4 linked regions of the Saccharomyces cerevisiae S288C genome follow. The gene in region 4 interacts genetically with the main gene of each other region. Each region holds a gene or a part of one and is shown on either strand. Other genes may lie near its edges.

Evidence for each region.
Region 1: mutations in PFK2 (region 4) and COA4 together harm fitness more than expected from each alone (negative genetic interaction), as found in Saccharomyces cerevisiae (2 studies listed by BioGRID).
Region 2: mutations in PFK2 (region 4) and ATP11 together harm fitness more than expected from each alone (negative genetic interaction), as found in Saccharomyces cerevisiae (2 studies listed by BioGRID).
Region 3: mutations in PFK2 (region 4) and SUT2 together harm fitness more than expected from each alone (negative genetic interaction), as found in Saccharomyces cerevisiae (2 studies listed by BioGRID).

Annotation. Positions count from the first base shown.
Region 1 is NC_001144.5:570,406-578,262, forward strand, and holds COA4 (Coa4p), read right to left. Parts: upstream 3,514-7,857; coding exon 3,061-3,513; downstream 1-3,060. Other genes in the region: FRE1 (ferric/cupric-chelate reductase), read left to right, coding at 1-222; cell proliferation protein CDC123, read right to left, coding at 371-1,453; peptidylprolyl isomerase CPR6, read right to left, coding at 1,691-2,806; MSC3 (Msc3p), read left to right, coding at 3,746-5,932; CCC1 (Ccc1p), read left to right, coding at 6,420-7,388. UniProt on the Saccharomyces cerevisiae protein: Involved in cytochrome c oxidase assembly or stability.
Region 2 is NC_001146.8:40,278-48,861, forward strand, and holds ATP11 (Atp11p), read right to left. Parts: upstream 4,004-8,584; coding exon 3,047-4,003; downstream 1-3,046. Other genes in the region: HXT14 (Hxt14p), read right to left, coding at 1-52; cleavage polyadenylation factor subunit PFS2, read left to right, coding at 342-1,739; prephenate dehydratase PHA2, read right to left, coding at 1,794-2,798; DAL82 (Dal82p), read left to right, coding at 4,170-4,937; tetratricopeptide repeat-containing protein EMW1, read right to left, coding at 5,031-7,745; RFA2 (Rfa2p), read left to right, coding at 8,010-8,016, 8,125-8,584.
Region 3 is NC_001148.4:572,704-581,020, reverse strand, and holds SUT2 (Sut2p), read right to left. Parts: upstream 4,470-8,317; coding exon 3,663-4,469; downstream 1-3,662. Other genes in the region: DNA-directed RNA polymerase I core subunit RPA135, read left to right, coding at 1-3,436; HAA1 (Haa1p), read right to left, coding at 5,919-8,003. UniProt on the Saccharomyces cerevisiae protein: Putative transcription factor involved in the regulation of the activity of the cAMP/protein kinase A pathway. Involved in sterol uptake.
Region 4 is NC_001145.3:670,043-676,436, forward strand, and holds PFK2 (6-phosphofructokinase subunit beta), read right to left. Parts: upstream 4,725-6,394; coding exon 1,845-4,724; downstream 1-1,844. Other genes in the region: INP1 (Inp1p), read right to left, coding at 21-1,283; YMR206W (uncharacterized protein), read left to right, coding at 5,854-6,394. UniProt on the Saccharomyces cerevisiae protein: Catalyzes the phosphorylation of D-fructose 6-phosphate to fructose 1,6-bisphosphate by ATP, the first committing step of glycolysis.

The sequences.
Region 1 (7,857 bases), on a different chromosome or scaffold from region 4:
GAAGAAAGCGAAATCACTGTTGAATGTCTCAATAAAAGACCTGATTTGAAAGAACTAGTGCGCTCGGAAATAAAACTCTCAGAACTAGAGAATAATAATATTACCTTTTATTCCTGCGGGCCAGCAACGTTTAACGACGATTTTAGAAATGCAGTGGTCCAAGGTATAGACTCTTCCTTGAAGATTGACGTTGAACTAGAAGAAGAAAGTTTTACATGGTAAGGCCCCTTGTTAATAATTCTTGCACGCATACTTTTGTTATTTTGTTGCTTTATCGGATAAAAGTTAATATAAATCGATGTAAATAATTTTATATAATCATACAACAGGGTAATAAAAAGACGAATATATTCAAATGCGGGTTCTAAATCTAAGTTTCATTCTCACTATCACTGCTTTCTTCCTTTGCCTGTTGAGAGAGTAGTTCTTTCCATTTTTGAGTGAGCTCTCGGATTGCTTCAGGATTTAAACTAGCTTCTACGAGATCCTGTGGAACATGATTTTCGGAGTGCTCTTTTGAAGCGAATCTCCCCGTGTTATGCCTCGTCACTAACCTTAATTCATAATCTTCAACATCATTCTTCGGAGGTGCTATCGCAGCAATCTCGTTCCATGAAAATAGCAAAGAATCTGTCTTCCTGGCAAACGGATTTATATCAACAATGAAGATTTTATTGAAAGGTCTTGGAATATAAACGTCAAGAACGAAACTTTTATCAGGAAACTTGGGCAGGACGACATCATGAACTATTTCATCAATAAGGTCCTTGAAGGTATCTGACAACTCATCTAAATAGTCATAATAATTTAAATCACGCTGGGTGGCCCCAACGATATGCGCATTCTTAACGAAGACCCTAAATTCGAGTGCCGGATTCATATCACACCATTGTCTAAGTACCAAGTCAAATTTCAATCCTTTTATATCATCCCCGTCCACGCAGCCTTTAAATGCTCTTTGAAGGTCATGCATTATGTAATTGGATGCGTTCAACAATAGGTAAAGCTCATTTACCTCGTTACACTTCATAGTGTTATTCGGCAAAATCCAGGTAGCGTCTCTTGGTGCAGACCAGTTTAACTTGGGAGCCACTGCACCTAATTCGTTCAAAGCATCCTTTAATTTCTGGTGTAATTCTGGAAAATCTATCAATGGCTCAACTTCTTGGACAAATTCGGTGGCGGTATCCTCATCGTCCTCCCAATCACTATAGTCATTATCTTCATTTCTTATTATTTCCTCGGTGTACACAGACCTGGAGTTTTCCTCTTGGGGTAGCTTGATACCGTCTTGTTCCAAATATTGAATAAATTTTTTCGGTAAGGATTTTAACACTATGGATTTTGGCACATATTTGGGATACAGTGAGGACCAAAACGAGTAAGAACAGTGTTCAACCTGCGCTCTTGTCACTGGTATATCTATAAAAGTTGTATATTCTTGTGAGGACATCAATAAGTAATTTATGTCAGCGCTTTTTGGACGCACGTTTTAGTTTCACTGGTGGAGTTACGGTATCATTAGCTTCTTAATCTTCCCACTGCATAAATGGACATCGGAAAATATCCGCTTATTATGCCTGAAAAAATAATTTTTTTAACAGAGTTTTCTACGTACTTTTTACTTAACTACTGAGGCAGCGCAACTGTTTAGTATTTAAACATATAAGCATATATATAATGCAAGTAATCAGGAGAACATCTTCGAAAGAGACTTTTTAGCTTTTTCGTTTTGTTGCTTTCTTTTTAATTTAGTATTATGAATAGCTTTCAAAATGGCAGCGTCATTTGGCTGGAAAGTAGTGGCCATTTCTAGGTCATTGAGAGCCATATCTGTGTCATTAACATGGTAATAGGCCAGGCCACGACGGTACAAAGCTTTGGCCTTGGCTTTTTCGTCAGCCGCTTCGGCATATAACACCTCCGATGAGGCTACTAATACTTGCTTGTAATCTTTTAATTTAAGAGCACAGATGGCAATATTCAATGGAATAGACACTTTCAATTGATTGATTTTTTCAATTTGTTCCTTCTCCAAATCTTCTGGGAAATACTCTTTCAAGAATTTATCACATTTGACATATTTTTCTAAAGCCACGGAATAGTTCTGTTTCTTGAACTGTTCAGTACCAATGTTCTTTACCGTTTCGATAGCTTTCAAGACGGTGTCGAAATTCTTCAAGTCAACTTTTTCGTCTTGTTTTAAAACATCTTCATAATTATCGCCGTACTCATCTGTTGGTGTAGCTTCGGCATTCTCTGGCACTTGATAATCGTCAGGTAACACGCCACAGTCATCAATCTTTACATCACGCAATGGCTTGTTGTTTTCTTGGTCACATTGTTGGTTTTCAATCAAACGAACAATTCTTTTACCTTGAATCACTTCACCAAACACAACGTGCTTCCCGTCCAAATGAGGTGTAGGAACACAGGTTATGAAAGCTTGAGATCCATTGGTATTTGGACCGGCGTTGGCCATGGATAGAAGGAATGGTTTATCATGTTTAACAGTGAAATTTTCATCCTCGAATTTTTCATCGTATATGCTCTCACCGCCAGTACCATTAAAATTGGTAAAATCACCAAATTGACACATGAAGTCTTTGATCACTCTGTGGAAAATGGAACCCTTGTACGACAATGGTACATCAGGTTTAGTCTTTGCCATACCAGCATTTCCTTCACACAACTTCAAAAAATTTTCAGCCGTTTTAGGCACTATGTCATTGTACAACTCAAAAACTATACGGCCTTGGGGTTTACCTCCAATAGAAATATCAAAAAAAGTTTTAGGTCTAGTCATTTTTACTCCTTGATCGCCTGAATATTGTCTTACCAGTTTTCTATGTGATGTGAGCGCATCAGCACCTCTGATATTCGACTTATTTAAATAATTTTCTGTCTGAACTTTCTCCAGCTAGGGCGGAAAAATATTCTAGAAGCTCATAGAAATGCCGTTCAAAAGCGTAACAGTTATGTTCTATAAAGGGAAACAATGTGTTTCGATCACTGCAGCTGTCTATTATATACAAGTTATACATCACGACATTTAGATTTTCATTTCTTCTTTTCCGAATCCTTACTGGTCGTCCCATCCACGTCCACTGTGCTTACGCGCTCTCTATTACCATTCTTTTCCCAACACTTCCTAAATAACGCCATCTCGTTGAAGCACTGCCTCCAGTCACCTGTTTCGGCATGGCACAGCTGTAATGCGAGGTTCTCTACGTAGCATCCGGTCTTGGATATTCTCGTGTCCCACACATCCGGGTCTTCGTCTTCTTGGACCTCTTTGTATTCTTCCAGCGCCTGCTTATAATACTCTGAAGTTTCGCCAGTTTCACTCATGACCAGTCTGCCAGTTTTAGCCTGCCAGAGCTTTTCTTTCCCTTTAATCTTCCCTTGTTTGGCGCAACTCTTAGAAGTGCCTTTCACTACCTTTAATGGCTGAGGCCCCTTTTTTTGTTTCGGACATTTGTTGTGAGAAAAAAAAGAAGAAAATAAAAGCATAAATGAAGCGAATGGATGAGAAGAGGGGAGGGAAAGCAAGAACGAGAAGGACAAACATCAGGGACCCATACTTCAATAAATTGCTTGATTTGGTGTTAATCAATTCTTCTAACATCAAACCTCTTTTAGTTTCCTTCGATCGTTTCACGTTGCTTATATTGATTGCTTTTTACTTCTATTTTTTCACTAGAATAAACAAACAAAGACATTCTGTTGATCAAGAAAGTTGAAAATGGTATTTGGTTTTACAAAGAGGGACAGGAGGGTACCTGATTTATCTAGGTATGATTACTACTATCAGAACCATGAAGATTATAACAAAAGTCCTCAGCTCTCTGCTGCTGCTGCCTCTGCTGCTTCTGCCGCATCACCGGATCGAACCAATTACTCAAGGTCGCACTCGCTGGTTAGTCATGCACCTTCAATACCGAGACAAAGAAGTTCGGTAAAGAGCCCAGGAAGAAGGCTTTCCACATCCTCTGCCGCTCCGCCAACGTCCAGGGCAGCAGCTAAGCAGTATTCACAGAAGACTTACTCGTTGAGGTCGCAAAGGAGCGGAGAGTACCATTTACACCCGCCCGGTTATACTACTAATGGGAGCCGTATGAATTCTATGACGTCTGGTGCGAATGTCAGAAGAAACTACGGTAAGAACAAATCGACGGCCGGCAACAATAACGATTCAAGGGCCAACTCCATTACCGTAAAGACTACACAAGTAACAGACCCTTCAGGAAGGACTCAATCAATTACCAAAAAGACAATAAGAAAAATAAATGGGTATGAATACGTAGAAACCACGACTACGACTAAGAATTTGGTTCCATTAGGTGACTCGCAGCGTCATTTCGATGAATTTAGTGAAAATTACATGTTGCAAGATGACGACATTTTAGAGGAACAAGCTAGTGATAACATTCACGATATAATCGAGGAAAACGAAACAGATAACGAAAAGCCATATTCCCCAGTAAGCGAAAGTCATTTACAAGATGATTCAGAGCTAAACGTGGAAAAACCAGATTTCCCACTTGGATCATATTTCCACCATAAGTATTCTACAGACGTTATGCCTCTAGAAGAAGAAAGTAGTTTATCAAACTTCAGTGACGCATTAGATTATATTCCTCCCACCCATCAGACCAGTAGTAAATATATTCATAATAAAAGGAAGCAAGCATCGACGACAAGAAGGAAGAAAAGACCGCCTGCCGTGAAAAACGCAGAAGCAGAGGCCAAGAAACCATTAACCGAAGCAGAAATGTATCTGAAGGCACTAGAGGTTGCTAAAAGAAACGTTTATCACACGGATGCTGCTTCGGATAACGCATCGGCCCCCCTCGGGAGTAACAAATCCAGGAAAAGTAGGATGGGTCAAAAAATGACCTTGAGAAGCAGTAGTGATTCTCCGACGGCGACTGCTAATCTTGTCAAATCTAATGTCGAGGTTCAACCAAAAAGATTTACAAGTTCCTTCTTCAGCAGAAATACTAAAAGCGCCCCCCATGAAGTGCACAATCACTCTGTGTCTACACATTTTAAATCGAATAAGGCTGTTGACCCAGTTCCAGAGCCTAAAAGTGCAAACACAGGGCTAACAGATAAAGAAATGTATGACCAAGCTTTGAAAATCGCACAAGCGAGGTATTACAACTCACATGGTATTCAACCTGAAGCAGTCGATAATAGCACTACGGCGGCTAAACCTCGTCAGGTCGGCGTTAGCCATCTGGGATCCACTGGGAGCATCCCGCCCAATGAGCAGCACTATTTAGGGGATTCTGAAATTCCAGTCCAAAGCGAAGTGCATGAATACGAGCCCATTCCATTGCAGAAGACAAAAACAACTGGTTCTTCCAAAAATAAGTTCAAAACCATGTTCGATAAAGTGCTGCAATTCTCTCAAGAAAACTACGGCTACCAGCACAAGAAGGAACAAGGCGAACAAACTCCAGTTACTCGTAATGCTGAAGAAAGCTTCCCAGCAGCGTCTATTTCGGAAGGTGTGACAACCGCAAAGCCATCTTCAAACGAAGGTGTGATGACGAATCCAGTAGTTACAGATTCACCTTCACCCCTTCAACAACAAATAGACTCGACTACTGCGTCCTCGAATGGGCAAAGTCAGGGCAATGTACCTACCTCCGCAGTAGCTTCAACAACGAGAACAAGATCACCGGAACTGCAGGATAATCTAAAGTCTTCTTCTTCGCTTTTACAGGACCAAACCCCTCAGCGTCAGGAAGACGCCACGGATCCAACAACATCATCGACGAATGAATTATCTGCCGCTGAGCCAACAATGGTCACTTCGACACATGCCACTAAGACAATACAGGCTCAAACACAAGATCCTCCCACGAAGCACAAGAAGTCCAGTTTCTTCACTAAACTGTTCAAGAAAAAAAGCAGCCGTTAGCAGTTGTTTACTCGAATTTTGCAATCAACCCTAATTTTTGAAGCCTGGTTTTAGATTTATTCTCTTCTTTTTCTTCTTGTGAACTTCAATTACTAATGTAACTTAATTTTTAATATAACTTTTACAGTTTAATAATATTGATTTTTTTCGGTCTGGACCAATCGCGCCGCATTTCTCACTAATATTACTAACATACCCTCTTCTCATTGGCTCGGTACCCCTTTCGTGACCCGCATTTTTTGTTTTCTTTGTTAGCCCGAATGTCTCACAATGAAGATGTAAAATTAAGATTATATATGAAAAATTGATACAAAACAAAATAGTTCAAATAATCAAGTTAAAGCGACATCACTCTCAATTTTTGCTTTTTTTAGGTTTATAGAATAGAAATATAACAGAACGAAGCCTTTAGACTCTTTTTTTTTATTGGTATATTGAACAAAGAAACTTTTTTTTTGTCCTCCCATATCTCGTGCACACAAATATTATGTCCATTGTAGCACTAAAGAACGCAGTGGTGACCCTTATACAGAAAGCGAAAGGTAGTGGTGGAACCTCAGAGTTGGGGGGGTCTGAATCAACTCCCTTGTTGAGGGGTAGTAATAGCAATAGTTCAAGGCATGATAACTTATCCTCATCTAGCTCGGATATTATCTATGGTAGAAATTCAGCGCAGGATCTAGAAAACTCACCGATGTCAGTAGGGAAAGATAATAGGAATGGCGATAACGGTTCGGATAACGAAAAGGCGAACCTAGGGTTCTTCCAATCAGTAGATCCTCGCGTAATTAGCGATTTGATTATCGGGCTAAGCGACGGTTTAACCGTCCCCTTTGCTCTAACAGCTGGTCTATCTTCACTTGGTGATGCGAAATTGGTCATTACCGGTGGCTTTGCTGAGTTGATCTCAGGTGCGATTTCTATGGGCCTTGGTGGCTATTTGGGAGCGAAGAGTGAATCTGATTATTATCATGCTGAAGTAAAGAAGGAGAAAAGGAAATTTTACGATAACTCCAACCTAATTAACAGAGAAATTGAAGACATTCTGTTAGAGATTAACCCTAATTTCTCGGACGAAACAATCGTTTCGTTCATCAAAGATTTACAAAGAACACCTGAGCTAATGGTTGACTTCATTATCAGGTACGGTAGGGGTCTAGACGAACCTGCCGAGAATAGAGAACTAATCAGTGCAGTCACTATCGGTGGCGGTTATCTACTTGGTGGGCTAGTACCACTAGTGCCATATTTTTTTGTCTCAGATGTGGGCACAGGTCTCATTTATTCTATAATAGTCATGGTTGTAACATTATTCTGGTTTGGTTACGTAAAGACAAAACTATCCATGGGTAGTGGCAGTTCGACTTCAAAGAAAGTTACGGAAGGTGTTGAAATGGTTGTTGTGGGTGGTGTAGCAGCAGGTGCGGCTTGGTTCTTTGTTAAGTTACTGGGTTAAGTGTAAAGTAACAACACTATACATATTTATTGTAAAGAAATTTGGGATTGAGAAGCTTTGCTATATACTTGGAACTGGGCTGGATTTTCTCGACATACATTTCTTTTACGTTTTAATTTGTTTCTATATTCTCCTCTTTAAATTTATTTATATTAATGAATTTCAAACTAGTTTCTTTTTCTATTGCCAAGAGGCCCATCAGGTGATCCATGATAACCTTTATTCGCATTGAATCGTTTTTCATTGGATCTAATTCGTCATTTGGTCGCCGCCTTTCTTTGCTCCTTCTGCTTTTTTCTTTTTCTCTTTGACTATCAGGTCATAAGATCTTCTCCTCCATTATGCCCAAGTGTTTTTCTTTTTTTTGCCTTTATATAAATTACAAAATACATACATATACTTCTCGTGCAGTATACTGGAATCAGCTTTATACCATATGAAGCACAACTTGGATCAGGACCGCTCTTCA
Region 2 (8,584 bases), on a different chromosome or scaffold from region 4:
GAAAATGAGAGATGTATCCCGAGCTATGTTGATACGGAATCTGAGCAGTCATTTCTAGCAATAATTGAAGTACTTTACTTCCTAAGAATACGTTAACAAATTCTTTGTTAGTATTTCTAATTAAAAGTGGTTAATTGTTCTGTTAAACAGTATTCAATGTTGCTATTTGAATTTGTGTCATCATTAGAATTACTGACATTTTTATTTTCTATTTTTTTTTCTATTTTTTTTCCTCTTCTTTTGAGGGCCGACGTATCGATTTGTCAAGGGAAGTATAATTAAAGAAAGCACTGATATACAGGTTGCTGGGTAGATATTAAGAAGCTCAACATAGACACGTTATGGACGGGCATAATCAGAACCAGTACCAGAATCAGAATCAAATTCAGCAGTCACAACAACCACCTCTGAAGAAATATGTGACACAGAGACGATCGGTAGACGTGAGTTCTCCGTATATTAACCTATATTACAACAGACGACATGGATTACCGAACCTAGTGGTAGAGCCAGAAACTTCATACACAATAGATATAATGCCGCCTAATGCCTACAGAGGTCGAGATCGAGTCATAAATTTGCCCAGCAAATTTACGCATTTAAGCTCGAATAAAGTGAAACATGTGATACCCGCCATCCAATGGACCCCAGAAGGCAGAAGACTTGTAGTAGCAACTTATAGCGGAGAATTTTCTCTATGGAACGCATCTTCGTTTACGTTTGAAACCCTCATGCAAGCACATGATTCGGCTGTGACTACAATGAAATATTCTCACGACAGTGATTGGATGATTAGTGGGGACGCAGATGGAATGATTAAGATATGGCAACCAAACTTTAGTATGGTTAAAGAAATTGATGCTGCACACACGGAAAGTATTAGGGATATGGCATTCAGTAGTAACGACTCGAAATTTGTTACCTGTTCAGATGATAATATCTTGAAGATTTGGAACTTCAGCAATGGCAAACAAGAAAGAGTATTATCGGGGCACCACTGGGACGTGAAAAGTTGTGATTGGCATCCCGAGATGGGGTTAATTGCCTCCGCATCTAAGGACAATTTAGTAAAACTGTGGGATCCGCGTTCCGGAAACTGCATATCATCAATTCTGAAGTTCAAACATACTGTCTTGAAGACGCGATTTCAACCCACCAAGGGAAATCTATTAATGGCGATTTCAAAAGATAAATCGTGTCGTGTGTTCGACATTAGATACAGTATGAAGGAACTAATGTGTGTAAGAGATGAAACGGATTATATGACACTAGAATGGCACCCAATAAATGAATCTATGTTCACTCTGGCGTGCTATGACGGCTCGCTAAAGCATTTTGATCTTTTACAAAATCTAAACGAACCTATTTTGACTATTCCATACGCCCATGATAAGTGTATCACCTCGTTATCATATAATCCAGTAGGACATATATTTGCCACAGCAGCTAAGGATAGAACCATAAGATTTTGGACTAGAGCGAGGCCAATTGATCCTAATGCATATGATGATCCAACTTATAACAATAAGAAGATAAATGGATGGTTTTTTGGCATCAATAACGACATCAATGCTGTGAGAGAGAAGAGTGAATTCGGTGCGGCCCCGCCACCACCAGCTACACTTGAACCACATGCGTTACCAAACATGAATGGATTCATCAACAAGAAACCGCGTCAAGAAATCCCAGGCATCGATTCAAACATCAAGAGTTCCACATTGCCAGGTTTAAGCATATAAAAGTGCGCTTTGACGAGATTTTAGGATACATAAATAAAAAGACTATATAACATATTATTTGTGATAATATCTCTCATTTCTGGGGAATGTACCCCACAGGCACCACTGTTTACTTTTGTCGCTGATATCTTCATAGAATTTTTCTTTATTCTTTGGGGTATTCTTCTCGGTGTAATATTCAATGAAAAATAAATATCGCCAGTTTCTATCATGTTCGTCCAAATGGAATGGTCTAGAGTTTATAGAACACATGTTGAGTGAATGGATTTTTAGTATGTTCAAAACATCTACCAAAGAACCAGGGTCATCTTGACGAGTAGTAAAGGTGAGTAGGTTAACCCGTAGTAATCCAGTGTCTTCTACTTCATTGTCGCCTGCGTTCTCCCTTCTCTTCAATACTAAAAATCTTGTTGTATTTCCTAGCTTATCATTTATCGAATGTTCAATGATGTACGCCTTATGCAATTGGGCAGCTGTTTCACTAGCAATGGCTAAATGCAGAATGTTGTCGCAATCGGCCGTTGATGACCGAATGCATTGGTTCACTGATTCAGATGTGGAAGAACAATCCAATCTTATAAAGGTGACCTGCGGAAATTTTTCTGCCATGGACCTTAAGTAACATTCAACCTGGCCCCATACTTGCGGATGTGAGTGTATTATGACTTCTTCAAAATTTCCAAGGGATGCAATACCATTTGGTAGTTGGATTGGGCTGATTAGACAATGGGTAATGGGTACATATTGCTCCGCTATAACTTCTATATCTGGTGTAATTCTATTAGTATCTGCTGGAGCAGGTAAGGATAGGGCTTTTTTGATCATCCTATCACGCAAGAGATCATAGGAAAAAACTACTTGTCCATTGGTGGAATTTTCCAACGGTACCACTGAATAATCTATACTAGTGTCGTTCTCCAATTGGTTAAAACATTGGGGGATAGAGGCTGCTGGGAGGTACTCAACATCAGATGTTGATTGAAATTGTTGTAATGCAGCTTGATGGGAATACGTACCTTTGGGACCCAGAAAAAGAACCCTCAAAGTCTTGCTGGCCATAATTGAAGGATGAATGCGGAAATATAATGAAGTTGCTTTTCGTACTTTTTTAGCCTGTTCTTTCTGCGTATTATATTCATCTACTAAAATTTTTATTTTCATTTTTCATTATGAAAATACAAGAGTCATGCTGATAACTGTGTAAAGAAACTGTACGCTTGTCGCAGATGATGTAGTACGTATTTTATTTACAGGTGTCATTAATATATATATATATATATATATACGTATACGGAAGTAATTCTTCGTTAATTTTCCATGGACTGTGATAGCGAAATCAATTTCTCGACGGTGAATCCCGGAGAGGCCTTAGAGAAATCTCTTAACAACTGCACTCTCTGTTTAGCAACTGGAGTTTCTTCACCCATTGCACCATAAAACCTTTGCACGTTTAGCAATAACAGCTGTGCATCCTGTACATTCACGTTTGTATCCGGTTCAACATGGCCATTCATAAAAACAATTCCCTTATCCTTGACCAAATCAGAATGGAACTGCAAGGTAGTATGTGGCCTTGCAAATTCCTGGTGTAGTTTGTATTCTGCTAGGGAAGTCATCATACAATGTGTTGTTTGGGGTCCGACAAACTGCCATTGGATGTAGTGTAGTTCCATTCCCTGTTCTTCGTTCGGTTTTGCATCCTCAGATTGAACTTGTCTAGGAAGTGGCAACACGAATATAGGGTTATTCCTGGCATTTGCCATCATCTTATCATAAACGGAGACAGGAATCACAGCGCATAATGTATTATCTTTTTGTGCCCATCTTGCTCTCCAAAGAAACTCTACTTCCTGTTTCGATAAGTCCTTCAGTTTTCCAACATCCAAAAAAGAGTCCAATGTTTTGAAGGGAACTTTAGGAGCACTTGGATCGAGAGGACTTCTTGATTTCGTCATCAAATGCTTGGAGTTGTTATTTTCCATTTGAGTTTTTTGTTGGTAATCCTCTAGTTCTTTCAGGGGGTCGATTTTATTAAATTCCCGCTTCTTAGACTCTATAGTCTCTTTCAAATGATTTTTCAACTCTTCTATGCTGTTAAAACCTTGTTTTTGAGCCTCTTCCAAAAGTTTCTTTCTATACTTCTGCTCTGGGCTGGAAGAATAAAAACGAAAAACAGGAACTGTTCCAATTGCCTTGTTAAAAATGGGCGACAGCTGATTAGAAATATGGATTCTAGTGCCGATTTTTCTGGTTAGTCTCCACATAGTTATTCTTAAATCTCTTTTGTTCTCTATTTTCAAGTCTTGATAAGTTCTTCACATCCTTCGATTACGGCGTCAAAATAAGCGTTATTTCCATTCGGGTGAGTTGAACCATTGATAACAACATGGTTTAACGATACTTTGAAAGGTTTAGGCGGAGCCAACCATAATGGATGAATCGGTGGATCCTGTGGAGCTGCTTCTACGACTACTGATACGGCACAAACCTCATCTGAAACCATATGCCTACAGACAAGATAGCTGGCAAAGGGTGCTCGATGAGTACAACAGACAGACTGGGTCAAGATATAGACAATCAAGGACGTTAAAAACCAAATTTCGTCGACTGAAGGACCTCTTCAGCGCAGATCGAGCCCAATTCTCTCCTTCCCAGTTGAAGCTGATGGGAGCACTCTTGGACGAAGCACCAGAACATCCAAGACCAAGAACTAAATTCGGAAATGAATCATCTTCATCCTTATCATCATCTTCTTTCATTAAAAGTCATCCGGGGCCTGATCCGTTTCAACAATTATCATCCGCTGAACATCCGAATAACCACAGCTCCGACGATGAGCATTCAGGCTCACAACCGCTGCCCCTGGATTCAATAACGATTGGAATTCCGCCTACTCTTCACACAATCCCCATGATTCTGTCTAAGGATAACGACGTCGGGAAAGTCATCAAAAGCCCTAAGATAAACAAGGGTACAAATAGGTTCAGCGAGACAGTACTGCCTCCACAAATGGCTGCTGAGCAATCGTGGTCGGACTCTAATATGGAATTGGAAATATGTCTAGATTATCTTCACAACGAACTCGAGGTGATAAAGAAAAGGCAAGAAGATTTTGAGTGTAAAGTTTTAAACAAGCTCAACATAATTGAGGCTCTCCTTTCACAGATGAGACCACCCAGCCAAGGAGATAAAATATAAAAACTTCTATTAGATATGCTTGATTCATGTCCATATGTATCTATTTATACAAACATTACGTAATATACACAGATTATACATGAAAGGTGCTCTTCATATTTGGCTTCTTGCTTCCACTAGCCTATCCCAACCAGGAGAGTCATCCCATCTGCCTTTGCCTTTACTCATTAGAGCTTTGATAGTAGATCTACATTTGTATTTCCAGTCTTTGCAAACCAGACTGCCTGGCCCATATTTACCTTCCATTTCACCAAGTGATTCATAGGCAGCCACCAAATCTTCACAAGCATCCACTGTATCATTCCAAACCTTTTCTTCAACTTCTAAATCAGGATTGTGAGAAATGGCCCTATAAGCCTTCTCGTGGCATTCTAGGGCGGCCCATGGTCTCTTCCTCCAAAGTTCTACTCTTGCGACCAGTCGCCAACATCTTGCACTGGTTGTAATTACCTGAGGTAAAGTGTTACAGATAAACTCAGTACAGCTCTTTTGAAAATAAGATAATTGCTGCGGCTCCTCTGGATATTCACTAGTCACTAATAGTTCTACTAGTTTTTCAATAATTGGTAAGTCGATGGAACCTTCGCCAGATTTGTCCCTCCTAATACTGACTAATTGTTTACATGCAGTTAAGACATCCTCCCACTCATTCAACTTAACAGCAACAAGCATGTAATTCTCCCAAATTTTCCAGTTCTTTTGAGCGTCACATGAAATGGCTCTTTTCAAACAACTATAAGCTTCTTTCAATTTATCCATTTTCGTATATGCAGCGCTCAAATTTGACCATGAAAGAGCATGATAAGGGTCTAATGAAACACATCTGGTAAATGCCTCCGCAGCTATCTGCATTTTACCACATTGTAATCCAACGCAACCATAAAAATACCACGTTTCAAAGCTTAATGGGTATTGCCTTAACGAGTCATTTAAATGTTTCAAGGTAGCAGAGTAATTTGGTTGTGCTCCAGACTTTGGAGGAGGATTAAAGTAATACTTTGCAAGGGAATTTTTTGCGTTGACGTATTTTCCAATCTCCCAACTTTTTTCCCATAGGGATGGATCCTGTTTTATATCACCCAAAATGGAGTAAGCCCTGGCATCCGAATCATTTTCATTTATTCTTTGAAGAAGGATTTCTTCTGCCTTTTTTTCATCTCCAACAGCGGCATAACATAATGCAGTCTCGCATGCCATACCAAGTCTTTCATAAATTTCCACAGCGGACTTCAAAATACCCAGCGACATATATTTTTCAGCTAAGGTGGCATCCAATTGCCACCTAGGGATGAACGGCAGCTGGTGGATGTATGACAGCCTGCTAGCAACATTGATTTCGCTTGAACTTGGAACCAATTTACTCTTAATCTTCAAATCCAATTCTTCTACGAGGGATTGCATTTGTAAAAGTCCTCTTTCAATAGTTTTAGCCTTTGTTGTCTCAATAATTGACCTTTCCCATAATGATCGGGCGAAAATAGACCAATTTTTGTCACCGTTTTGATATAATATTCTAGAAAGCAAAGCAGTAAGTTCTTCTTCCACAAGAGGATCCTTGGCCGGAGTTGTGTTCTTTATGGTGTAAAGACGTAACAGCAACTGGATGTTGTCGTAATCAGATAGGGTAGGTTGATCGTTAGGGTTCAAATCCAGCAACAACTTTGGAATATTTTCTTGACGTAGTGCCAATGGCAATAGTTTATCTTCTTCATAACCTTCATTTAGGTCTACCTTTTGTCTTTTACTATAAATTTGCTCGTCTAGAGGTTCATCAGCAATGGACTCAAAATGAGGCTTCTCCAATAATAGATCGGACTCTAAAGCAAATGTTTCTGGTGTAGCAGATGTCGTTCTCAAAGCAAAATTTTGAAATGTGAAGGATTTGGCAAGAATGATCAAACCGGCATGAGCCTTTTGCTGATATTTAGTTCTAGTAGCGCGTGCACCCGTCATTACAAATTCAAAATTTGTTATCTTTTTCGCTCTGGTCAAGGATGGCAGGCACAAATGTTCTGTGTTGATGGCCAATGAACATTTGACATTCTCTAGATAGTACATTGCACAAAGTTCTCTTTTGAAATCTTCGTGAATACTCTCCGGTAATTCCTTAGTTATCGCATATGCAAGGTCAGCAGACTGATATATTGCAGATGCAACACTAGCTTGGAACCCAGAAGGTTCTGGAATCAGTGACAATTGCGTCAAAAGAGCTCTTGCCCACCACCAATAAGCTACAGCTAATAATCCAGGAGTAGACTCAGCAGAGATAATAGGTAGCGGAATTTCTTGATCCGGGGTAACATCAAATAAGCTTTTTTGGCCGGTTATCCTTTCAAGTAATAATAGTGATAAAACCAAATACAATGGATCATCCATAAATTCGTAGGCAGGCTGGCCCATAATGGCTAATGAGCGGGAAAGGGCTGTATTAACTGCTCCTATTTCAATTCCAGTTTTGCCAAACAAACCTGAGATTGCTTTCAACCTAGCTGCTGGGCCGGTGTAGTTATTTTGAATAAAGGTCTGTAAGAGGGCAATAGCCAAAAATAGCATCTCATTTTCTTGGCCCATTTTGAAAACCTCAACGTTAAGAAAGTCATTTAGAGCAGCAATAACACTAGATGTGGATATTTCTCCCGAAATACTAATTTTTCCCTTAAATTTGTCCACAAATTGCTGTACTAGCTGGTATGATTCACCACTGATGATATGTTCAGCCTTTTTCACATATGTCTGGTCGAAAGAACCACTTTTCAGAGATTCTACTTCTGCAGACAGCAATAATTTTGCATGCAATAACGTCTCCATAATTTTGCAACCACTAGTTTACTTTTTGCCTGGTCTGATAGCTTCTTTTTAGCAATTCCTTTGGCCTCGATGAGCTTCCATTTTCAATTTTCATCTTTTTTTTCACGATGCGAAGTTTCTTAGATAATTATCGCCATATACGAAACGCGTTAGGAAACGCGTTCTTTCCTTTATAATAAGCAATATTATATCAACTTAAGGTGGAAGTAATGTGGCAAAATCGATAGCGACTATCTAGAACAGGCTAGTTTAAGCATATACATAATGGCAAGTATGTATTAGTGCTAGGAATTGGAGGATTTGCTCTTTTCTGCATCATTTTTTTTATTTTTATTGGCGAATGTTAAAATTACTAACAATGGATGGGATTCCAATACAGCCTATCAACCATATAACGAATATTCATCAGTAACGGGCGGTGGCTTTGAGAACTCTGAGTCCCGCCCAGGTAGTGGGGAGTCGGAAACTAACACTAGAGTTAACACCTTGACACCTGTGACGATCAAACAAATTCTAGAGTCCAAACAGGATATTCAGGACGGCCCCTTCGTTTCGCATAACCAAGAACTTCATCACGTTTGTTTTGTAGGTGTGGTGAGAAACATTACAGACCATACTGCAAATATTTTTTTAACTATTGAGGATGGAACTGGTCAAATAGAAGTGAGAAAATGGAGCGAAGATGCAAATGACTTGGCTGCCGGTAACGATGACTCTTCTGGTAAAGGTTATGGTTCGCAAGTCGCCCAACAATTTGAAATTGGCGGTTACGTAAAAGTTTTTGGTGCTTTGAAAGAGTTTGGTGGTAAGAAAAATATACAGTATGCGGTGATTAAGCC
Region 3 (8,317 bases), on a different chromosome or scaffold from region 4:
TTTGTTAAATCTTGGTGTTAAAGACATCGGTGAAAAAGTTATATTTGATGGAAAACCACTCAATTCTGAAGACGAAATATCCAACAGCGGATACCTCGGGAATAAGCTTTCTGTTAGTGTGGAACAAGTGTCTATTGCGAAGCCAATGTCTAACGATGGTGTTTCTTCTGCAGTAGAGAGAAAAGTTTACCCAAGTGAGTCAAGACAAAGGCTTACTTCTTACAGAGGTAAATTACTTTTAAAGTTGAAGTGGTCCGTGAACAATGGCGAGGAGAACTTATTTGAAGTAAGAGATTGTGGTGGTCTACCAGTTATGCTACAGAGTAACAGATGTCACTTGAACAAGATGTCACCATATGAACTGGTACAACACAAGGAAGAATCCGATGAAATAGGTGGTTATTTCATTGTTAACGGTATAGAAAAGCTTATTAGAATGCTGATTGTGCAACGTAGAAATCATCCTATGGCTATCATCAGACCTTCCTTCGCTAACAGGGGTGCATCCTATTCTCATTACGGTATTCAAATTAGATCTGTCAGGCCGGATCAAACTTCCCAAACTAATGTTTTGCATTACTTAAATGACGGTCAAGTTACATTTAGATTTTCTTGGAGAAAAAATGAATATTTAGTTCCTGTTGTTATGATTTTAAAAGCCTTGTGTCATACCAGCGATAGGGAAATTTTTGATGGTATTATTGGTAATGACGTTAAGGATTCCTTTTTGACCGATCGTTTAGAATTACTGTTACGTGGTTTTAAGAAAAGATATCCTCATTTACAAAATCGCACACAAGTCTTGCAATATTTAGGAGACAAATTTCGTGTTGTCTTTCAAGCTTCCCCTGATCAATCTGATTTAGAAGTCGGACAAGAAGTCCTTGATCGCATCGTTCTCGTGCATTTGGGTAAGGATGGCAGCCAGGATAAATTCAGAATGTTATTGTTCATGATCAGAAAGTTGTATTCCTTGGTTGCAGGCGAATGTTCTCCAGATAACCCAGATGCTACGCAACATCAAGAAGTTCTTTTGGGTGGTTTCTTATATGGTATGATCCTAAAAGAAAAGATTGATGAGTACTTACAGAATATTATTGCTCAAGTCAGGATGGATATTAACCGTGGTATGGCCATTAATTTCAAAGACAAAAGGTACATGTCAAGAGTTTTAATGAGGGTTAATGAAAACATTGGTTCCAAAATGCAATACTTTTTATCAACTGGTAACCTGGTGTCCCAGTCTGGGTTAGATTTACAACAAGTTTCTGGTTATACTGTGGTTGCAGAAAAAATTAACTTCTACCGTTTTATCTCTCATTTTAGAATGGTTCATAGAGGCTCCTTTTTTGCGCAATTGAAAACTACCACAGTCAGAAAGTTGCTACCTGAGTCGTGGGGATTCCTGTGCCCTGTTCATACACCAGATGGTTCTCCTTGTGGTTTATTAAACCATTTTGCGCACAAGTGTCGTATATCAACTCAGCAATCTGACGTCTCAAGAATTCCTTCTATATTATACTCACTTGGTGTTGCTCCGGCATCTCACACCTTTGCTGCTGGTCCTTCTCTGTGTTGTGTTCAAATTGATGGTAAAATTATTGGCTGGGTCTCTCATGAACAAGGTAAGATCATTGCGGATACATTGAGATATTGGAAAGTTGAAGGCAAGACGCCTGGGTTACCGATTGATCTAGAAATTGGATATGTTCCTCCCTCAACTCGTGGTCAATATCCAGGTCTCTACCTATTTGGTGGTCATTCTAGGATGCTGCGTCCTGTTCGTTACCTGCCTTTGGATAAAGAAGACATTGTTGGACCTTTTGAGCAAGTGTACATGAACATTGCTGTCACTCCTCAAGAAATTCAAAATAACGTTCATACACACGTAGAATTTACGCCCACAAATATTCTTTCTATTTTGGCTAATTTGACTCCATTTTCTGATTTCAACCAGTCTCCAAGAAACATGTATCAATGTCAGATGGGTAAACAAACAATGGGTACTCCGGGTGTAGCTTTGTGCCATCGTTCCGACAATAAGCTGTATAGGTTGCAAACAGGTCAAACGCCTATCGTAAAAGCTAATTTATATGATGATTATGGCATGGATAACTTTCCAAACGGGTTTAATGCTGTTGTTGCGGTCATCTCGTATACTGGTTATGATATGGATGATGCAATGATTATAAACAAATCAGCAGATGAAAGAGGTTTCGGTTATGGTACTATGTATAAGACTGAGAAAGTGGATTTAGCACTTAACAGAAACCGTGGTGACCCAATTACACAGCATTTTGGTTTCGGGAATGACGAATGGCCAAAGGAGTGGCTTGAGAAATTAGACGAGGATGGTTTGCCATACATTGGCACTTATGTTGAAGAGGGTGATCCAATCTGCGCATACTTTGACGATACTTTAAATAAGACCAAAATCAAGACATATCACTCCTCTGAACCAGCATATATCGAAGAGGTAAATTTAATCGGTGATGAATCCAATAAGTTCCAAGAACTACAAACTGTTAGCATAAAATATCGTATTAGAAGAACGCCTCAAATTGGTGATAAATTTTCTTCTAGACACGGTCAAAAAGGTGTTTGTTCAAGAAAATGGCCAACCATTGATATGCCTTTTAGCGAAACAGGTATCCAACCAGACATCATCATTAACCCTCATGCTTTCCCTTCGCGTATGACCATTGGTATGTTCGTCGAATCTTTAGCAGGTAAAGCGGGGGCATTGCATGGTATTGCACAGGACTCTACACCTTGGATCTTTAACGAGGACGATACCCCAGCCGATTACTTTGGTGAGCAACTAGCGAAGGCGGGTTACAACTACCATGGTAATGAGCCAATGTACTCAGGTGCTACTGGTGAAGAATTAAGGGCAGATATTTATGTTGGTGTTGTCTACTACCAAAGATTACGTCATATGGTCAATGACAAGTTCCAAGTTCGTTCCACTGGTCCTGTGAATAGTTTGACTATGCAGCCTGTCAAAGGTAGAAAGAGACATGGTGGTATTCGTGTCGGTGAAATGGAAAGAGATGCTTTGATTGGGCATGGTACATCTTTTCTATTACAAGATCGTCTGCTAAATTCATCAGACTACACACAGGCATCCGTATGTCGCGAGTGTGGTTCTATTTTGACCACGCAACAGAGTGTGCCAAGAATTGGTTCGATTTCCACCGTTTGTTGCCGTCGTTGTTCCATGAGATTCGAAGATGCAAAGAAGCTATTGACTAAATCAGAAGATGGAGAGAAAATTTTTATTGACGACTCTCAAATTTGGGAAGATGGACAAGGTAACAAATTTGTTGGTGGTAATGAAACAACTACGGTGGCCATACCATTTGTGTTGAAGTACTTGGACTCTGAGCTATCCGCAATGGGTATAAGATTGCGTTATAATGTAGAGCCCAAATAGAGAAATACCCTTCTTTCCAAATTGATATAGAATGGTAAATGAAGGCTTGGTCAATTGTATCATATAGAGGTTTTTTATTGAATTACTTATACAAGAGCGCCCCGCAATAGAATATATATGTATGAGTAAACAAATTTATATCTTGCAGAAAAATATCTAACTTATTATTGGTGCGTTTTATTAATATTCCTATATTTTACATAGGAGGAAATTACATGCATGAAACCTAAAGGGTTTGGAAGCCAGCGGCAACATAATCATCGACAGTCATCTCGAAGATACTTTTGTCTTTAAGTTTACTATTTATCTTGGGAAATACGTTCATATCAGATTTTGTAAATCCTCTCGAAAAAAGACACTTTCCATTTTTTTGGTTTCTTCTACTGCAAGAGGTGCAGGCTTTGAAAAGGACTATTTTATCAAGGTGTTTTATGACTTCATATGTGCCCATCACGTCAGGCAGTTTCCTGAAAAACTTCATTCGAAACTGGTTTATGTCGTCTTGGGAAAGTGTATAATGCAAATTTGAAGAAATTGATGAAATTAGGTTCCTATCCTGTAAAAAGATAATGATTGTTGCATTGCATTTTATTTTCTTTATCCTACAAGAGTCACAACTTGGGCCGTCCCTCTGACGTTTTCTTTTGAGTCTGTTCGTTGCTATAGATGAAACAACCGCTGAATCGGTTGTTTCGCCGGAAGAAACAGTTTTATAGTATTCAGTGTACTCTGTTGGGCAACCAAGCTTGGGAAGCTTAGTCTTTTCGGATTCTTTTTGCCAATTACTATAACTGTGGTCTGCACATTGAATCGAAGAAACTGGCATAGATCCTTGCCCTGCCTGAATGTTTAAACGCTTTGGCAGTAAAGAGCAATCAGAAAACCCGAATGGTTGATATCTGCCATTGCTTGAAATTTGTCCTTTTAGCAATGAATCGTCACAGGTGTAACTGTTCAGTGCAGGCAGCAAAAGTGCAGGAAGAGATTCATCTTTGTTGGTAATTACATCACAAGTTCGATTGTTCGGCTTCATATCTGACGATTGATCCAAACAAACCAATAGCTTGGTGAGCGTCAGTTTGCCCTCTTCTTTGTTAAAAATTATCCAAGTGCGTTTTCTTTCTTATGGTCTATATGATAGAACTAATTCTTCATTCAAGAAAGTTTTTGTTGTACGTAATATAGAAGGACAACTACAGCCAGTCGAAGGAAAAAAAATTCCAAAAAAAATGCTAACCTTTAGCAAGAAAATTTCTTTTGTCAAACCTCCATTTAACCTTTGGTGGTTGATAAACATGAAATGGGCAATTTCACGAAAAGCTAAACTTTGTTTTCGTCTCCGCCTAGATGACTCTACCTTCAGGAGTAATATTTACACTATTTCTTCGCAGGCATTCGTTTATCGGCTTGGCAGGTCTAGATTTTTCTCTCCAATAAATTCTTTCCAAACATGTAAAGAAGATTTAGAATAAGAAATTTTAAAATTTAACGAAAGAATATATGAGCTAGCGGCGAAAACCCGCCGAGGTTTTGCCGTACATACCGTACATGTCTCCTTTCCATTATCAGCATCCAATTTTTATCTTACAGTAGGATGTTCATATTAAAGGAAAATGTATTTAAGCCCTTTCTTCCGTTTTCTCTTTTCCATTCTCCCGGCAAGTAAAAGTGGGTATCTTATCTCTTTCACTCGACTAGTGTAAGAAACGTAATACAGATTTTGTTGCTCGAAGAGCAAGAAGTGAGCAGTATAGTACACGTCAATGGAAGCAGTTTAGAATGGGGAGCGGTTAAAGCCCGAGACTCCCCAGGTAGATTGCACAGAGGACGCGCAAGTTCTTTTAAAATCTTGCCTGCAGAAAAAGAAATTATATTTATTTTCTTTTCTTTTGCCTACTTTTGATAAGTGAAGAGATAAGGTATGGAGCCCCGTAGTTTAAACCTAGATTTGTCATTGAGTGCAAATACCTCATCTCTGCGTGTTCGGACTTGCCTTCCTAGTTTATGTAATTATTTAAAAGAATCGGGAGTTACATCATAATGATTTATAGGGTTTCTTATTGCTATATTTACACAACAAACTACGCAAGGAATGCGGAAGGAAAACGATACTATTTCATTAGAAAAACGCACCTAGAAAGGTTGAGAATGCGCTACTAAAAATTCTGAAGATTATTGTTTGCCTAATAATGGTCTTACTCTCTGATACCTTATATTGTCAGAATACTATTAAGTAAAAGTGAGATGGGGAGGCCATTCACATTCCTGTTCTTGTGTGTGGGTGCTTCAGGCAAAGAAAAAGAAGGCGCAGTGCATATTTCTGCAGTGATTCAAATGGTGAACAGTAATATTGATTATGAAAATGTATAAGCAATCATAATGCCGATGATATTATTAGGTGTATAAAAGTGTATATATATATATATATGTGGGAGGAGGAAAACTACAGTTACAGAGAAGCAAGAGACGAAAAGCAAATTTATCATAACGAAGACATGAAATTATCCAAATCCGCAAATCCTTGATCGGTCAGTAATTGACTTGGTGGTGACGCTGTTTGAATACTACTCATTGGAGAGGTATCTGGAAGGTCATTCCTTCCGGAAGGCGTAGAGATCATGCTATTTCCTTGGATTATGAAATTACTACTAGATGAATTTTCCCTTATGGCATCCGGTCTATTCATACTTTTTAATGGTGGGGAGAACATTTGGTTCATCTCGTCTGGTACATTTTCCAATTGTGACAGATCGTGTATGTTATTTAGCGGATTTCTTTCTTCCTTCTTAGTGTGAATGTTCTTGTCTTGGCGACTTCCAGTTTTAGGCATTCTCGGAGAGTTTATTGACTGAGGAACTGAATGAATAGAACTTTGCTCAGCTAGGTTTGAAGGGTCCATCATCATATTTGCTATCGATGATGGCTGAGAGTTTAGTGATGTTAAACTCAGTTGATCGTCGAGATTGCTTGCTACGGCATTGTTCAATGCACCGGGAGATGTCGCTACGGTTGTTGGTGCCATAGGTGGATACCTATGGTTTACGTCAATGCTAGAAGATCTAGGTTTTCGAGTGAAAGGTCTGTCAGTAATGTAATTGGATGATGGCGATCTTTCCGTTTCTCTTTCTTTTTCGGGAATATCCATAAAACTCGGTGTCAAAGATAGCACTTCAACTCCCTTTCCGATGTCATTACTATGTGAATTTCCAAAAGTATTCTTCAAATACTCGTTTGCCGGATGATGAATAAATGATCTACTTCTGGAAGTTAATTGATGACGAAGTTGAGGATTTTTCGAATAGTTTTCTTGTTTGACAGAGTTTTCTTGCGAACCAATTTTTTCTTGCAATAATAAGTTTGCACGGGAAAGCGTTGAAATCGACGATGAATCTGTAAACATGTCAAATAGTCCATTTCCTTGATGTTCTTGTCTAGAAGAGTTGTTATTGTTCTTGTCGTTGCCATTACTGTTGATATTATTATTATTGCTATTGTTCATACCGTTTCCATTCATACTATTAGTCTTACTATAACTTTTGCTATTAATTCTATTACAGTTGTCGTTAATGTCGAACTTACTTTCACCAGTTGCAGCGGTTGCGGTTGTACTGAAATTTCTCTCAATACTTTCATCAAATGGCCAATCGTAGACCAAAGAGCTTTTATCAGTAACTCTTCCAACCCCATCAATGTCAGAAGGAATATATTCTTCTAGCGGAACGCTAACTTCGCCCACACGAGAGTTTGATATCGGCGATATTCGTTTTGAATGGCCTAATAGGTCAAGACCCACAGAGTTGTTTTTATCCATCATGTTAAGACGTGAATCAGCTTTCGCTGGCAAGCTTACCGAACTATCTTGCCAGTTATTGCCTGATTTTGAATGCTGATGATTACTGTGATTTTGGTTGGTTTCATTGATATTTCCCGTGAGAAAATTAAATGACATTGAAGATAACGGCGGGCTTTGTGGTATACTGAAATTTTGATCTAACGATTGCGAGGATTGTAAGGATGAAATGGAGGCCAATGAAGGGACATGATGGTAATCTTTTGAAATTTTACCAACACCCGGCTCACTGTCTAAAAATGTGCTCGTCAGTATGCTAGAGGTATCTGATAGTGCTCCGTGGCCGGATAACATATTGCTGTCAAGTGAAGTAGAAGACAATACCCTTTCAAACATTGGTTGAGAACGAGAAATGGATCTTCCTTTCTTTTGAGAACTTGAAGGGGACTTTCTTAGATGTCTCTTTTGAGCATGATATTTGCAAACCTCATCAGTCCCGCAGGTACACTGTTTTCTTTGTTTTTCTTTGGCTTTAGCTCTTGCTTCTTCTTTGGCTTTCTGTGCCAGTTTTTTCTTCTCTAGCCGGCCACACGTGCAAACACCTTCAGGATTTGCATTCTTGTTTTTTCGAAGTTGTTTACAATAGTCGCATGTAGTGGAAGGTCTACCTTTGGGTTTGATCATCATAAGCGGTTGATCTGTATGATTGCATGTTGTTACTCTATGGCCTCTTATGCACCTCTCACAGGCATACTTTATGCCATTTATCAAGACCATTATTTTTTAGGTTTTTTTTTTCTATACTTTTGTTTCCTTTTTCTTGTCAAATATGGTAGAGTGACAACAGAGAACTCTTTTCCTATGATAAAAAACCACGGGGTCTTATTTTGCTTGATTACGGTTTTTGTTTAATATTACAACCCTCTTTTCCTTGGAAAAGCTTCCCTGCCACGTTTTGTCTTGGCTCTTTTATTATAACTGATAAAGAGAACGGAAAGGACTTATAAAACGTGAACTTTCTAGTTTTCAATCAAGTGCTGGTGCTGTTATCCCTTTTTTTTTTCTTATAAAGTGGAAATGCACGACTCTGT
Region 4 (6,394 bases):
AGTTATGCTTTGAACTTCATTCAAAGGTCGCCAAGACCAGATATGGATCTCCTCTGAAATCTTCTATGCCTGTCCTGCAGATACGGGGGAGAGTCGATAAAAGGGTATGAACTATATCTTTTGTTTTGCTGTTTCGAATGAATACTTGGGGCTGCTATTGGAATATTCAGTACAGGAGCGGTTCGTCTGATAGCATTTTTGAAAGCTTCATTTATGGAGATTGACACGGCATCGGTAGGGTCGCTCGGATAGAGAAAGCTTGCATTTAGATTAGAGCAAGTGTTCGATATCACGGAGAAGCTATTATCTGTACATCCTTGTTCGTATTCTTCATCCAGCAAGTAATTAAGGTCGTCATCATCATAATTATCATCATCATCATCGTTATCATCATCATTATTAATTATTTCAGTATTGGGGGGCTCTATGTCCGAAGTAGGCGGCAGTTTGAATTTATCGCTCAAAGACTCATTATTCCCAATAGTAGCTCCTTCATTAATATGCGAAAATTGGCAAATTTTGCTAATGACGTTTTCAAAAGCTTTCACACTATTTTCCAACTCTGATTGGGATTGACTAATCAAAGGTAGAAATTCGATTTCCCAGTACCGTTCCGGATTATAAAAGCTAATAAAGTATTTGAAACCTGCGCCATTTAGCCTTGTTATTTGTAGTTTGGGTAGTACTGGATGCACAATATCACCATGTCGTCCTATCGATAAATAGTTTACTACATGCCCATCATGACTACTAGCTTTACTAGATTTTTGAAAGGGCGCTATATTTTCCTTTAACTTATCAAACCCTGTACATATCTGATATATTTCAATAGGTCCTTTTGCCATTAAAGATGTAGGTTTTAACTTAATAGTGTTTTGACTGTCTTGACTTTGCGTATCATTGAAGAATACTCCACTACTTTCAGTGACATTATTTGCGGATACTTGGGAATTTCTACGAATGCAACTGCTATTCGGAATATCATTATGAATGGGAACGAATGAATTCATAACCTGAACATTGCCATAGGTAAACAATGAAAATCTCTGAGTTGATATTCTTTTCCTTTGTGTTCCGGTTTTCTTCGAGGACGTGCCATTTTTTTTGGCTTTAACAGATTTATTTGTATCGTTTGAGTGTTGGGTCGAATCCTGTTTCAACTTTTTATTGTTGCTAAGTTTAAGTGACTGTTTTAAAGTTTGAAACGTAGATTGAGGTTTCTTTTCTTGTTTTGCCGTTAATCTCACGCTATTTTTCTTTGTTTCTCCCCTTGATAAAACCATACCACTTTGTTTAATTTCCTGAGAGTTATCAGACGAAAAATGTAGACCTTGTATCCTTCATAGGTGAAGGAATACTTCCTCCGTAATAAGGTAATTTAAAGTTCATAGTTCATTCACTCTTTTTGTTTACATCTCCGTTCTTCGTGATAAGTTCATAGATAATAAGAGAACAAAGTATTTAACGCACATGTATAAATATTGTATTAAAAGGGTACCTTTATAAATATGAGATCCGAGGGACGTTTATTGGAATTATCTTTTAAATCGTCTATATCACATATTCCAGTATACATAAGTTTTAATTTTAGAAAACGTTTAAATAAACAAAGAGAAAAAAAATAAGACACAAAAAATAACAGTATCTTTATTCTTGACATTCATAAAAATGCATGATAATATTGGTTTCATGGGGTAGTACTTGTATTATTAAAAGAAAGGAACAAAAAATTCATTGTTCAAAAGCTTAGAGATAAAAAAAAAGAATTATAGACACAAAAGAAAAACATGGGTTAACATTAATTGACATTAATAATAGAAAGTGTAATAAAAGGTCATTTTCTTTTAATCAACTCTCTTTCTTCCAACCAAATGGTCAGCAATGAGTCTGGTAGCTTGCCAGTGAATGACCTTTGGCATTCTCATGGAAACTTCAGTTTCATAGTCATACAATTGTCTAATGGAGTTGTAAACGACATGTGAACCCTTAACACCAACGACAGCAGCAGTGTCAGAAATGGTCTTGTCATCAGCGTTGAAGTTTTCTTCGGCAGCACGAGCTTCAGCAATGGCAGCTTGGTTGTCTTTGATGAAGCCGACAGCTTTAATGGCCATTCTAGTGGCTCTTGTTCTATCAATTGGAGATGGCAAACCACCTTGTTGTACATGACCTGGATAAGCTGGCTTAGCGTCAAATCTGCCATCGGCTTCAGCAGTAATAACTTCAGCCAATTTAGTGGCTGATAAAGCCTTAGAAGCGTTTGTACTCTTCAAAATCAATTTACCAAATCTACCTCTACCTTCTGCCTTTTCAAAAGATTGAGCTAAGTATTCAATATCCTCGGACAATTGCTCCAAAGAAATACCTTCTTCTGGGACATAAGAGACTTGAGCACCAACAGCCAAAGAAGCGTAAGTGGCCAAATAGCCTGAGTTACCACCTTGACAATCGACAACGAAGGCTCTACCTCTGGTTGAAGAAGCGGATTGTTTAACAACATCACAGTATTCCATTAGAGCATTCAAAGCGGTATCAGAACCCAAAGAGTATTCAGTACCTGGAACATTGTTAGACAAAGTAGCTGGTATCAAGACCATTGGGATTCTGAAAGCTGGATAACTTTCTCTTGCTCTCTCTAATTGATGTAAAGATTCAAAAGCTTCGAAACCACCAACGATGATCAAACCATCAAATTCGTACTTTTGGAAATAGTAAGCAATCATACCTAGATCTGCTTCTTCTGGAGTGACTCTGTTAGTACCGATTTCAGAACCACCACGGGATTGCCAACCCAACATATCCTTCCAGTTCAAAGAACGAACACTTTCATGTCTTGCCAAACCAGACCAACCATTGTAGATAGCGTATGGTCTGTGACCTTGGGACATACAGTAAGTAGCCATCGAGTAGACGGCAGAGTTGATACCACCAGCTGGAGCACCGACATTAACAATGGCAATCTTCAGTCTCTTGTCCTTTGGTAGCTTTGGTTCGTTGTGGTCAGCAGAGTTGATAGCCATGAAATTGTTTAAATGTTCAATGAACTCAGTGTCTCTTAAAGACATAGCTCTCTTGAAATCCTTAGCTTGAATGGCTTCTGCAACTGCTTTGGTCAACTTGACGGATTCCATTAATGGTTTACGAACAATTTTGTTTTCGTTAACAGCAATCAATGGTGATGGGGTGTCTGGAGTGGATTCCAAAACGGCATTAACGGCCTCAAGACCTTGTAAAGTAGCCAAGATACGGTCGTAAGCAACAGCAGTACCACCTCTTTGAACGTGACCTAAGGTAGTAATTCTTGTATCCAAACCTAATCTGTCAACTAGAACTTTGTGGACGTCGCTTGGAGAAATTGGGGTCAAGTCAGCAGCGATAGCACCTTCTGCAACAACAACAATGGTGGTTCTCTTACCCCTTGATCTGTGCTTGGAGACAATGTCACACATTTGATCTTGCCATTCGCTGGAAGTGGCTGGCTTCTCTGGAATAAAGATATAGTCAGCGGAAGTGGCGATACCAGCTAATAAAGCTAACCAACCACAGTTTCTACCCATAACTTCAACAACGAAAGCTCTTGAGTGAGAGTTGGCAGTGGCTTCAACGTAATCGATGGCCTTACAGATTCTGTCCAAGGCAGAGTAAGCACCAATAGTAGCATCCGTGGTGGACATATCGTTATCAATAGAACCGACAGTACCGCAAATATTCAAATGCTTCATTCTTTCGTATTGTTCGTTGGAAATTCTGTTTGTTTTCAACAATTCCTCGATCAAAGAAGGCCATTCTGATCTAAACAGATCAGCACCAGTCAAAGAACCGTCACCACCACAAACGATCAAAGCATCGACACCGGCCTCAATCAAATGTTGGGCACCCAATAATCTACCTTCGCGCTTCTTGAATTCCATACAACGGGCAGTACCAATGTTGGTACCACCTTCAGCAGACCAACCACGGACGTCTTCCCAGTGGAATTCCTTGATGTATTCTGGACCACCACGAACCAAACCTTCATAACCTTCCATGACAACAAAGGCACGACAACCTTTGAAGATAGCGGAACGCACGATGGCTCTAACGTTAGAGTTCATACCTGGAGCATCACCACCGGAAGTCATGACGGCAATTGCCTTTTGAGGCCTGTTCAATGGCTTTGGCAGAGATGGATAGGTGTCGGTGGTTTTCATACGGTAAGCCAAATCAGTGTAAGAGTGAACTTTAGAGGAAAGACCAGACTCAGCAGAAGCTTCTGGTGCTGGTGGTGGAGTTGGCTTGGTTGAAACTGCGTTCTTAGTAGAAGTAACACCAACAACGTTACCTAATGGGTCCAAAGTGTACAACTGCATTGGAAATAGTTCTGTTGGGTAGCCTTGAAGAGGAGCGTTCATAGCATTTAGAGTGTCCTTGACTGCCAAGATGTCGGAAGTGTTAAATACCAAGGATTGGGTGGCATGTGATCTCCAGTCTTGAGTCTTGGTAATACTGTTCAATTCCTTCAAATGAGCCTCAACATTTTTATTGATTTTTTCATCAGGACGTAGAAGGATCTTCAAAGAGATGGAATCGTTAGACAATAAAGTGGAGTTTTCATCTGGAGAAGAGCGGTTTTCTAATGACAAAAACTTGGTGTAAAAATCTATGGCAGCTTTATAAGATTGAACGGAATATGCAGTGACGGTACAATAAGAAGTACCATTCACAAAAGGAGTAGTAACAGTCATTGCGTATGGTTAGTTCTTGGCCAATGCTAAACTAGTCTCTAAATCTAGTTCTATTGTTCAAATGAGGTATAAGAAAGGCTTTTAAGCAAGAAGAAGGAAAAAAAAAAAAAAAAAGGAATTTTCTTCTTTATGAAACCGAAGATAAGAAGCTTTTAATCAAGGAAGTAATAAATAAAGGACAAAAAGAAGAAAAAAATATTATTGTTTTATAAAATGCAAGTAGGAAAAATAAGAATGAGAGCGGATAAAAAAAAGGCAGGAAAAAAAACAACAACATGAAGCGAGAGACTTCATTGCGATGTAATAAATGAATGGTAGATAAAGACCGGATGGAAAAAAAGGCCGATTTAACATGGCAAACAAAAGATTACATACGTACTGATCAAATTGATCAATTCAATATCTCTGTTTTCGTTTTTAACATTCAACTACCGTCATAGCGTTATACGTAGGAAAAAAAAACCGCAATCACGTAACCGTGGCTTCCACTAATCGGCTCTTGTGCCGTCAGATTCCGGATGTACGGGTGGACGCCATTTGGAACGAAAAAAAGAAATTGAAAAAAGTGGAAGCTAGAAATCACTGTCTTACCCTGGACGGTATCGTATATAATGACTCCGGTTTTTTTTTCTCTACCCCCTTGCCTCTTACCCCGGATTTTACCCAACTTTATCTTAATCTTCGTTTTCCTTTTAGCGTGGAGATGGTAAACGCTAGCGGTAACGTTAACGTTGCAAAGGGGGTATGCGGGACTGGCTGAAACGGGCGATGATACGATGCAACAAAGCAGCAGAGAATGGCTATGAATAGTCTTTACACCCACAGTTTTTCGTGTGGCAGTTACTATATATTAGTAGGATATTCGATCTATATAGATGGTAGTACTTACAATGCTGTTCTTGGGTTTTTGCGGATCTTCTTTCTTTTTTGTAGTTTTATTTTATGTCTTACTTCTTATTTCCTTCTTACTTCCTCATTGGTTAAGGCTCACGTTGATTGCAATAACAAAGAAGTATATACTGTAGCATAGCTCTTCATATCATTTTTGCCGTGCATTCGAAGACTATATATATATATGCATATTGTCTGACCTTTCGCCTTAAAGTAAAGAAGACAACAGAATATAACCATGCTGAGTAGCAGTAGCAATAGACCCATATCTGCCCATCTAACCATCCATTACAAGGCTATTCAGGAGGAAGAGGGGGAGGATATGAGAAGCGGTGCCGGAAGTGGTGGCCATCATGACGACTATTTTCTGGAGAGTAACAGATCTCCCACTCCTAATAAGAAACATGAGTTCATTAAAACGGTGCTCAATATCAACGATAACGACTCTGAATTTTCGGAATCGTGCTCACCAAGAGAGAAGTTACATAACGAGGGGGCTTGTAATACAGACCTGTTCGGGGACTTCATGTCTAAAAGACAACAGAGGCTGTCTAATTCTATGAACATTTACGACCTTTATCAGTGTGTACATAACCTGTCGCCTAGCAACAACAACCATCAGTTCATAGCAAGAAGGTTCAGCGATTCTCATATTCCCTCCTTGCATCACCGCCAGCAGCAACAGAAGGTAACAACAAAAAACTTTGTACAGCCCACGAAGGACATTCAAAGGATCGCCTCGTACGCTGCGGATTCAGACCAGAGAGTCAAGTATTTAC